3 linked regions of the Caenorhabditis elegans genome follow. The protein of the gene in region 1 purifies or fractionates together with the protein of each later gene. This does not show direct contact. Each region holds a gene or a part of one and is shown in the gene's direction. Other genes may lie near its edges.

Region 1 (4,220 bases):
AAGGCCAAGCAGGATGAGAAGAAAGCAACGACTGGAATTGATGAAGATCTTGGTGGTGATCGTAAGAAAGGAGGAGCCGAGTGTATTGCTGTCGACATGGAATATTGAGAATTGACTTGATTTTTGCCTACTAGAAGACTTGATTATGTCATTGAACTTTTTTCATGACCACCAATGAATTATTTCTTGAAACTGTTGATCAATAGTAACCTATAATTAAATATATACTTTTGCCTGTTTTTCATAGATTTCCTGAAGGAATTCCCTTTTTTCCACTGAATTTTAATGAAAAAAGGGAACTTTCTCGTCTGCAAAAAGTAAAAGATCCAAACTTTTCGGTTGTTTTTTTTGATCTTAAAAGCTTTGAAAAAAAAGAATAAATTAGTGAATTTGTCACAAAAGCTTTTTGAGCCGGAAAAGTTTGCCAAAATTACACGTTTTGTTCTGAAGGATTTAGCGAAAATCGATTTTTTTTGCTACTGGGAGTTCGGGAAGTTCATAAAAAACCTGAAATTTGTCTGAATTTCTGTTTTTTCATACTTTGTGACTCGATAACAAGATTTTTCAGTGTGTATATCCGATTTATAATTTAAATTTTACAAATTTTGTGCCGCCGCAGCATTTACTGTAGCGGCGAGATCTCCTTTTCCTTCGGCGAGCCGCTGTCTGATGATCGTCGCCACGGCTTTCTGCGTTCTCCGCTCCAATTTTTGCAATTTCGACTCGATGTCTCGCTTCAAATCCCAATCGATCTTCTTCGGAGCCAACATCGCCAGATCTACGCTGTCGATGGCTTTTTCGTGCAGAACGTCCTAGAAAAAGCGGGGAATTTATGGAAAATTGTGATTTTTCGATGACTCTCTACCTTCAAATGCTCCGTAATTTCTCGCTGAACGATATCCAGATCCATGTCGACGTTTTGCGTGCCGACGGCATCGTCTGGCTTGTGATTCCGGAATTCTCGACCAACTTCGCGACTTTTCTTGGTAGAAGTCTCGCCTTCGTCGTAATCCTCCTCTCTGAAAGGAAAAACAATAGCATTATGCAATTTTTGAATGAAAATGACACTCACTGCATCTCAATTCCATGAATCTTCGACTTCATCGCTAGTAATCGTCGTTTGCGTGCTTTCGCCGCAGCCTCTAACGACGTTTCATGATTTGTGAGACTTTCGATGTCTTCATCGGAATCGCTGTTGTTTTTGTCGGTCATCTGCAAATTTTTAATTATATTCAATACATTTCAGTAATTTTCATGTAAAAAAATCAAAGAAAAAGACGAATTTTAAGCAAAAATCAGCTGAAAAACAAAAAAAATTAATTCAAAAACTCAGTGTGGATTTACGGCGTGTGGTGGGTCTCGCCGCGAAATGGGGGTACGGTCACAGTCGTTTCGCGTGTGCGATTTATGTTTCTCGGGCGGTTGCCATTTTTTGCGCGTGAAAATTCATTTTTCCACGGATTTTCAGCGATTTTCAGGTTTTTTCTTTAATTTTTATTGATTTTCTGTTGAAAATTAACAGTTTTCATTTAGAATTACGTAAAAACAGCGTGCTGAGCGCCTGATTTTGATAAAATTAGGTCTAAATCTGAAAGTAAAAATGCGTTTTGTCCGCATTTTTCGTTTCCTTTCTGAAACCTATAGAAAACAATTTGCAATTTTTATTTCAACATTGATATATGCATACATGGAAAATTCTCATTGAATTTTTCCTGAAAACGTTCAAGAAATTACGTCATTTTCGAAGTTTTTAAATACCCGTTTTCTCAATATCTACAGTTTTCAGGGTCATCATGCTTCGTCAAGGCGCGGGAACTCTCCAGCTTGTGTCTCAAGGCTTCGCCAATGCCGAGCAGGCTCGTGGATTTGCCACTTTGAAGGTAACTAGGCGATTTTTTGAAGCTTCCCACAATTCTCCAATTTTCAGGACATTTCCATCCGTCTGAAGTCGGTCAAGAACATCCAAAAGATCACCAAATCCATGAAGATGGTTGCCGCCGCCAAGTACGCCAAGGCTGAGCGTGAGTTGAAGGTAAAACTTTGATTTTATTCAAGAAAAATCTTTAAATATCAAAATTTTCCAGGGAGCTAGAGCCTACGGAGTCGGAGCCAAGACCTTCTTCGACAACATCGATCCAGTTGTCGAGGGAGTCGAGAAGCAAGAGTCCAAGAAGCAAGTTTTGGTGCTCATTACCTCCGACAGAGGACTTTGCGGTGGAGTTCACTCTTCCATCGTCAAGGAGGCCAAGAACATCCTCAACAACGCCGGAGACAAGGAAATCCGCGTTGTAGCCATCGGAGACAAGTCCAGAGCCGGACTTCAACGTCTTTATGGTAATATTTTGGTTTTTCTCGGGAAAAAGTCTTAAAATTGTGTTTATTTTCCAGCTAACAGCATTCTTCTCTCCGGAAACGAGATTGGACGTGCTCCACCAAGCTTCGCTGATGCTTCCATCGCTGCCAAGGCTATCCTCGACTCTGGATATGACTTTGAGACTGTAAATATTCAAATTCTAGTTAAAAACCCCCCATTTTTTTTTCTTGCAGGGAACCATCTTGTTCAACCGTTTCAAGACCGTCGTCTCGTACGAAACCTCAAAGCTCCAAATTCTTCCATTGGAGGCAATCAAGGCCAAGGAAGCCCTCAGCACGTACGATTCCGTCGACGATGACGTTCTCCAATCGTATTCCGAGTATTCGCTCGCCCAATTGATCTACTACGGAATGAAGGAATCCGCAACCTCAGAGCAGAGCTCCAGAATGACTGCCATGGACGGAGCATCGAAGAACGCCGGTAAGAGGCGGCGATGGACGACGATGCGAAGAATTAGATGATTTCTGATTGAACAGCCCAGAAAATTGCAATTTTGGGCTTGAAATTTGATATTTTTGCTGGAAAACGTATTTTGGGCATTTTTGGAGTTAAAATCGGCTCATTTTCGTGATTTTTCGCGAATATTCTTTTATATTTCCAGACAATTTTCTGATTCGAATGGTTCGCATTCTGTTTTCTAGGAATATCCGGTTTTCGTGTTGCAAATCGCCGAAAAACTACTTTTCTCAACAAAAAAAACTGTTTCAAAACTTTAAAAATGGTCGATTTTCTGCAAAAAAACGTCGGAAATCGTTGAGAATCTGTTTTGTTACAATTTTTTTAAAACCATGTGGAATTTTAATTTAACGTTAAATATCCATTTTCTACTGAAAAACCAGATTTTCTTGCCCAAAAATGTTATTAAAAAATTTGCAGCGACGGGATTTCGGAGTGTCGTTTACCGGCGCGAAATCTTGTTTTTCTCAAATGTTAACTACAGAATCCAAAAAATAGCTACAACATCAAATTTAATTTCTATTTTTTCAGGAGAAATGATCGACAAGCTTACATTGGCCTTCAACAGAACTCGTCAAGCAGTGATTACTCGCGAACTTATCGAAATCATCTCTGGAGCTGCCTGCGTCTAAATATCTCTCTCTCTCTGTCCCTTTTCTACATCCATTGTTGTTCAAACTATCGCTGTTTCGACGCCCCAATTTTCCCCACTTTAAATCCTTCCTGTCACCCCCAAAAATTAGATGTTTCGATTTATTTTTTATTTTTTTGTGTGTAACCCGTTGTTATAGTGATACGTTTGAGTAAATAGTGACACAAAAACAAGCGAAATAAATATATTTTTGTATGATTTCCCGGTCGTGGAAATCATGCAAAAAAATTTGATTAGTATGGTAGTCTTAAAATATTTTTTTTGCGGAAAATTTTTGGGAAAAAATGACGGTAAGAATTACCTAATGCGGATTATTTTGGAAGAAAAAAAAATAGATTAAAAAGAAATTAATTAAAATTTTTTAGGAAAAAACCGATAAATGGATCTCGCGACGATAGAAGGATATGCACAAACCTTATTGGTAAATTTTCAGAAAATTTCAAATAAATGTTAGATTTTAACAATTATTTGCTAAAAAATTCTGAATTTTCCTGAATAATCGTTAAATCCGTGATTTTCCGAATTTTTGAGTGAAAAAAACGGCAAATTTTCGGTTTTTTTCAGGAAAAATTCTCTAAAACCCCAATTTTTCAGGCCCCACCGAACCTGGTGACGTCAGAAGCCCGTGAACAAGTCACATTCTTTTTCGAGGATTTAAAGAAGAAAATTTCAATTAACGAATGTTTAATTCTGCTCAGTACGTTGGAAAATCGCTGAAAAAACTTGGTTTTTGACAAG
Region 2 (2,716 bases), on another chromosome or scaffold:
TTGAAAAAGGAGTTCATGAGAGTACTTGTTGCTCGATGCCAAGCCAATCAAGACACCGAGGGAGAAGATTCTCTCAGTGGACCAGCTCAAAAGCAACGAATTCAGTTCTTGGAGAACAATTTGGACAAGTTGACGAAGGTTCACAAGCAGGTTTGTCGTTTTTATTCTCATTTTGATTATCTTAAAACTTGAATTTTCAGCTTGTTCGCGACAATGCCGATTTGCGCGTTGAACTGCCAAAGATGGAAGCTCGTCTTCGTGGTCGTGAAGATCGCATCAAAATATTAGAAACTGCTCTTCGTGATTCGAAGCAACGTAGTCAAGCAGAACGAAAGAAGTATCAACAAGAAGTTGAACGAATCAAGGAAGCTGTTCGACAACGTAACATGCGACGAATGAATGCTCCACAAATTGTGAAGCCAATCCGTCCAGGACAAGTGTATACGTCTCCGTCAGCAGGAATGTCACAAGGAGCTCCAAATGGCTCAAACGGTGTGTTTAGTCAGACATCTACACCTTCAACATCTCGCAATCAGATACCATCAAAAATGACTATTTCACAGTTGATTGCAGAAATTTAAGATTTTTTTAAAAATTCTTTAGTGCTCATGTAATTTTTCACAAGTAATTATACTATGAATTAGAATTAGAGTGAGTGTTTCTTTTTCTTCCTACCGTATTATCAAATTTAACAGTCTTTTGTCCGTCCATTTTTCACTAATCAAAGTTTTTCAGCATAATGTCTCCCAACAACAACATCAACTCATCGTCTTCTTTGATCCAATCAATACACTGAAGACTGACATTCAAATGCTTCTCTATCTCTCTTCTTTTCCCGGCTTTGTGATATACTTTCGATGGGCTTTTCTGTTTATTTTAAAATCTAGTAACTTATACAATTACGCGGCTTCTGGAAGTTTCAACAAAAATATCTTCATTTGGTTGGTTGTGTCTCCCCATTTCGTTCCTTGGCTTCTCGTCTTCCATGTAGAATACAAAACTTCAAAAGCTAAAAGTATTTAAAGCTTCCCTCCACCCCCACCCAAATTGCCTTTTTCCGCCTTTTTGTTCTAATAGTCTGTTTCTATACGATTTTCCTGTTTCAGTTTTACTAATCTGACACGAGGTTTTGTCTGGTTCTTCCCCCCGTCACCCACCAACACTCCTATGATTGTTTTTTGCATGCGTTTGAGTGTCTTTAAAGCTTGCTTGCTAAATCCCCCTATCATTCTTCATAAGAAATCAACTTGTTTCGTTTCTGCACAATTCGGCCCCCAAATCCCCGCACATCCCAATTGCGTAATTCATTTTTTTGTATCTTTTGCTCTTCCAGTAAATAAAATTATTATTTTTTCTGTTATTAAATAAACGTTTTGCTGTTTTTTAAACAAGATTTTACAATAACATACGAGCAAGAATAACCAACAAACGCATGAGCTTAACTGATTAGTGTTCTGGAGTGAGAATATCATTGAAAACTATGAGAAATAAGTTTAATGTAATTAAATATTTATTGATAGTTTTGTTTCCATTTTGGACCAACTAATTATTATTCAGTAACTTTCGAATATTATCAAGTTTCCTGTTGAACTTTGACTGTATAAAGTTTTTATTTTTTATTTTACAGATTTCTCTAGTCTAAAGGTTGTTCTCCATACCTTTCAATTTACTTCCTTTTTCTGAAAATTTTATTATTTTATAGTATAAATTAAGGTTAAATAACTTTCCCCCAAAATCAAAAATGGTCGCCTGGAGAGCTGCTGGACTCAACTACGTCCGTTATTCACAAATCGCCGCACAAGTCGTTCGTCAGTGCACCAAGGTTTGTTGGACCCTTAAATAACAATATATGCCCCTTTAAGTGGTACAGTAACCCGTTCCGTTAATTTTCTGTTTATCATTTTTCAAGTTATAACCTATAGGTTTCAATTAAGTAATATGTTTCTGAAAATTACCGGTAATTAATTACTGGGCTCCTAAAGGTTCACACATTTTTGTCCCACATCAAAGTATGAAAAATCGCAAAAATTATCAAAAATTACAGGGAGGCGCCAACGTGAAGAAGCCCCAAGCCACCTTGAAGACCACTGCTTGGGAGAATGGAAAGATGGTGTCCAAGTCTCAATAGATTCATTCGATAATTGATCATTTCCATTTGAGAAAAAAATAAACAAATAGGTTTCATCAAGTTCGGTGCAATATGCCATTTTCCGCATTTTTTATTGATTTGTGTGCAATAATAAACTCTTAGTTTTGTTTGAAAGCGTTTGAAAAAGTGAGAAAAAATGAGTATTGACCAGAATAATAAAAATCCGACAAAACAAACTCCCGGAACGGGGTCCTGGCACGTGAAAAAGTTTTCAGTTACCGTACCTCGTGTAGGTGCTGGTACGGTGGCTTACAAGTTTCGCTCGTGCTAGAACGCATGGCAGTGTTTAAAAATATTTCAAATGAAGAAGAAGTACAGTTGTTAAATTAATACAGAACTTCAGCCTCCATAAAAAATCGCGCCGAGTCCTGGAAAATGATTCATGCACCATTAAACTCTAAATTTAATGTAGTTGAATAATACAAATGACAAATGACAATATTTTCATTCGATCAAAGTTCACTTAGTCGATAAAAACGAAGCAGGGAGACGACGGACACCTGAAATAATACATTAAAAACTAGATATTCCAATTTTAAGTGTAACCTTCAACTTTCGAATTTGCCC
Region 3 (2,906 bases), on another chromosome or scaffold:
TTTCTAGAAAGTTCTGGAACATTCCAGACTTTTCCCAATTTTTCTAGAAAGTTTTGGAACATTCCAGAATTTTCCCAATTTTTCTAGAAAGTTCTGGAACATTCCAGACTTTTCTCAATTTTTCTAGAAAGTTCTGGAACATTCCAGACTTTTCCCAATTTTTCTAGAAAGTTCTGGAACATTCCAGACTTTTCCCAATTTTTCTAGAAAGTTCTGGAACATTCCAGAATTTTCCCTAAATTTGAAAAAGGAGTTCATGAGAGTACTTGTTGCTCGATGCCAAGCCAATCAAGACACCGAGGGAGAAGATTCTCTCAGTGGACCAGCTCAAAAGCAACGAATTCAGTTCTTGGAGAACAATTTGGACAAGTTGACGAAGGTTCACAAGCAGGTTTGTCGTTTTTATTCTCATTTTGATTATCTTAAAACTTGAATTTTCAGCTTGTTCGCGACAATGCCGATTTGCGCGTTGAACTGCCAAAGATGGAAGCTCGTCTTCGTGGTCGTGAAGATCGCATCAAAATATTAGAAACTGCTCTTCGTGATTCGAAGCAACGTAGTCAAGCAGAACGAAAGAAGTATCAACAAGAAGTTGAACGAATCAAGGAAGCTGTTCGACAACGTAACATGCGACGAATGAATGCTCCACAAATTGTGAAGCCAATCCGTCCAGGACAAGTGTATACGTCTCCGTCAGCAGGAATGTCACAAGGAGCTCCAAATGGCTCAAACGGTGTGTTTAGTCAGACATCTACACCTTCAACATCTCGCAATCAGATACCATCAAAAATGACTATTTCACAGTTGATTGCAGAAATTTAAGATTTTTTAAAAAATTCTTTAGTGCTCATGTAATTTTTCACAAGTAATTATACTATGAATTAGAATTAGAGTGAGTGTTTCTTTTTCTTCCTACCGTATTATCAAATTTAACAGTCTTTTGTCCGTCCATTTTTCACTAATCAAAGTTTTTCAGCATAATGTCTCCCAACAACAACATCAACTCATCGTCTTCTTTGATCCAATCAATACACTGAAGACTGACATTCAAATGCTTCTCTATCTCTCTTCTTTTCCCGGCTTTGTGATATACTTTCGATGGGCTTTTCTGTTTATTTTAAAATCTAGTAACTTATACAATTACGCGGCTTCTGGAAGTTTCAACAAAAATATCTTCATTTGGTTGGTTGTGTCTCCCCATTTCGTTCCTTGGCTTCTCGTCTTCCATGTAGAATACAAAACTTCAAAAGCTAAAAGTATTTAAAGCTTCCCTCCACCCCCACCCAAATTGCCTTTTTCCGCCTTTTTGTTCTAATAGTCTGTTTCTATACGATTTTCCTGTTTCAGTTTTACTAATCTGACACGAGGTTTTGTCTGGTTCTTCCCCCCGTCACCCACCAACACTCCTATGATTGTTTTTTGCATGCGTTTGAGTGTCTTTAAAGCTTGCTTGCTAAATCCCCCTATCATTCTTCATAAGAAATCAACTTGTTTCGTTTCTGCACAATTCGGCCCCCAAATCCCCGCACATCCCAATTGCGTAATTCATTTTTTTGTATCTTTTGCTCTTCCAGTAAATAAAATTATTATTTTTTCTGTTATTAAATAAACGTTTTGCTGTTTTTTAAACAAGATTTTACAATAACATACGAGCAAGAATAACCAACAAACGCATGAGCTTAACTGATTAGTGTTCTGGAGTGAGAATATCATTGAAAACTATGAGAAATAAGTTTAATGTAATTAAATATTTATTGATAGTTTTGTTTCCATTTTGGACCAACTAATTATTATTCAGTAACTTTCGAATATTATCAAGTTTCCTGTTGAACTTTGACTGTATAAAGTTTTTATTTTTTATTTTACAGATTTCTCTAGTCTAAAGGTTGTTCTCCATACCTTTCAATTTACTTCCTTTTTCTGAAAATTTTATTATTTTATAGTATAAATTAAGGTTAAATAACTTTCCCCCAAAATCAAAAATGGTCGCCTGGAGAGCTGCTGGACTCAACTACGTCCGTTATTCACAAATCGCCGCACAAGTCGTTCGTCAGTGCACCAAGGTTTGTTGGACCCTTAAATAACAATATATGCCCCTTTAAGTGGTACAGTAACCCGTTCCGTTAATTTTCTGTTTATCATTTTTCAAGTTATAACCTATAGGTTTCAATTAAGTAATATGTTTCTGAAAATTACCGGTAATTAATTACTGGGCTCCTAAAGGTTCACACATTTTTGTCCCACATCAAAGTATGAAAAATCGCAAAAATTATCAAAAATTACAGGGAGGCGCCAACGTGAAGAAGCCCCAAGCCACCTTGAAGACCACTGCTTGGGAGAATGGAAAGATGGTGTCCAAGTCTCAATAGATTCATTCGATAATTGATCATTTCCATTTGAGAAAAAAATAAACAAATAGGTTTCATCAAGTTCGGTGCAATATGCCATTTTCCGCATTTTTTATTGATTTGTGTGCAATAATAAACTCTTAGTTTTGTTTGAAAGCGTTTGAAAAAGTGAGAAAAAATGAGTATTGACCAGAATAATAAAAATCCGACAAAACAAACTCCCGGAACGGGGTCCTGGCACGTGAAAAAGTTTTCAGTTACCGTACCTCGTGTAGGTGCTGGTACGGTGGCTTACAAGTTTCGCTCGTGCTAGAACGCATGGCAGTGTTTAAAAATATTTCAAATGAAGAAGAAGTACAGTTGTTAAATTAATACAGAACTTCAGCCTCCATAAAAAATCGCGCCGAGTCCTGGAAAATGATTCATGCACCATTAAACTCTAAATTTAATGTAGTTGAATAATACAAATGACAAATGACAATATTTTCATTCGATCAAAGTTCACTTAGTCGATAAAAACGAAGCAGGGAGACGACGGACACCTGAAATAATACATTA

The links.
Region 2: the proteins of Y69A2AR.18 (region 1) and R05D3.6 purify together in Caenorhabditis elegans (affinity purification with mass spectrometry, with the first as the bait; one large-scale study listed by BioGRID). This does not show direct contact.
Region 3: the proteins of Y69A2AR.18 (region 1) and ZC262.5 purify together in Caenorhabditis elegans (affinity purification with mass spectrometry, with the first as the bait; one large-scale study listed by BioGRID). This does not show direct contact.

Annotation. Positions count from the first base shown.
Region 1 is NC_003282.8:2,493,956-2,498,175, forward strand, and holds Y69A2AR.18 (F-ATPase gamma subunit), read left to right. Parts: upstream 1-1,779; 5' UTR 1,780-1,793; coding exon 1,794-1,880; intron 1,881-1,927; coding exon 1,928-2,032; intron 2,033-2,084; coding exon 2,085-2,334; intron 2,335-2,388; coding exon 2,389-2,498; intron 2,499-2,547; coding exon 2,548-2,794; intron 2,795-3,361; coding exon 3,362-3,462; 3' UTR 3,463-3,720; downstream 3,721-4,220. Other genes in the region: Y69A2AR.19 (Protein-tyrosine-phosphatase), read left to right, coding at 1-108; ccdc-12 (Coiled-coil domain-containing protein 12), read right to left, coding at 597-812, 866-1,019, 1,073-1,212; Y69A2AR.16 (Exportin-4), read left to right, coding at 3,862-3,903, 4,077-4,179.
Region 2 is NC_003281.10:8,349,831-8,352,546, reverse strand, and holds R05D3.6 (Putative ATP synthase subunit epsilon, mitochondrial), read left to right. Parts: upstream 1-1,741; coding exon 1,742-1,822; intron 1,823-2,044; coding exon 2,045-2,128; downstream 2,129-2,716. Other genes in the region: unc-116 (Kinesin heavy chain), read left to right, coding at 1-150, 201-492, 736-740. UniProt on the Caenorhabditis elegans protein: Mitochondrial membrane ATP synthase (F(1)F(0) ATP synthase or Complex V) produces ATP from ADP in the presence of a proton gradient across the membrane which is generated by electron transport complexes of the respiratory chain.
Region 3 is NC_003281.10:8,341,687-8,344,592, reverse strand, and holds ZC262.5 (Putative ATP synthase subunit epsilon, mitochondrial), read left to right. Parts: upstream 1-1,982; coding exon 1,983-2,063; intron 2,064-2,285; coding exon 2,286-2,369; downstream 2,370-2,906. Other genes in the region: ZC262.7 (Kinesin motor domain-containing protein), read left to right, coding at 257-391, 442-822. UniProt on the Caenorhabditis elegans protein: Mitochondrial membrane ATP synthase (F(1)F(0) ATP synthase or Complex V) produces ATP from ADP in the presence of a proton gradient across the membrane which is generated by electron transport complexes of the respiratory chain.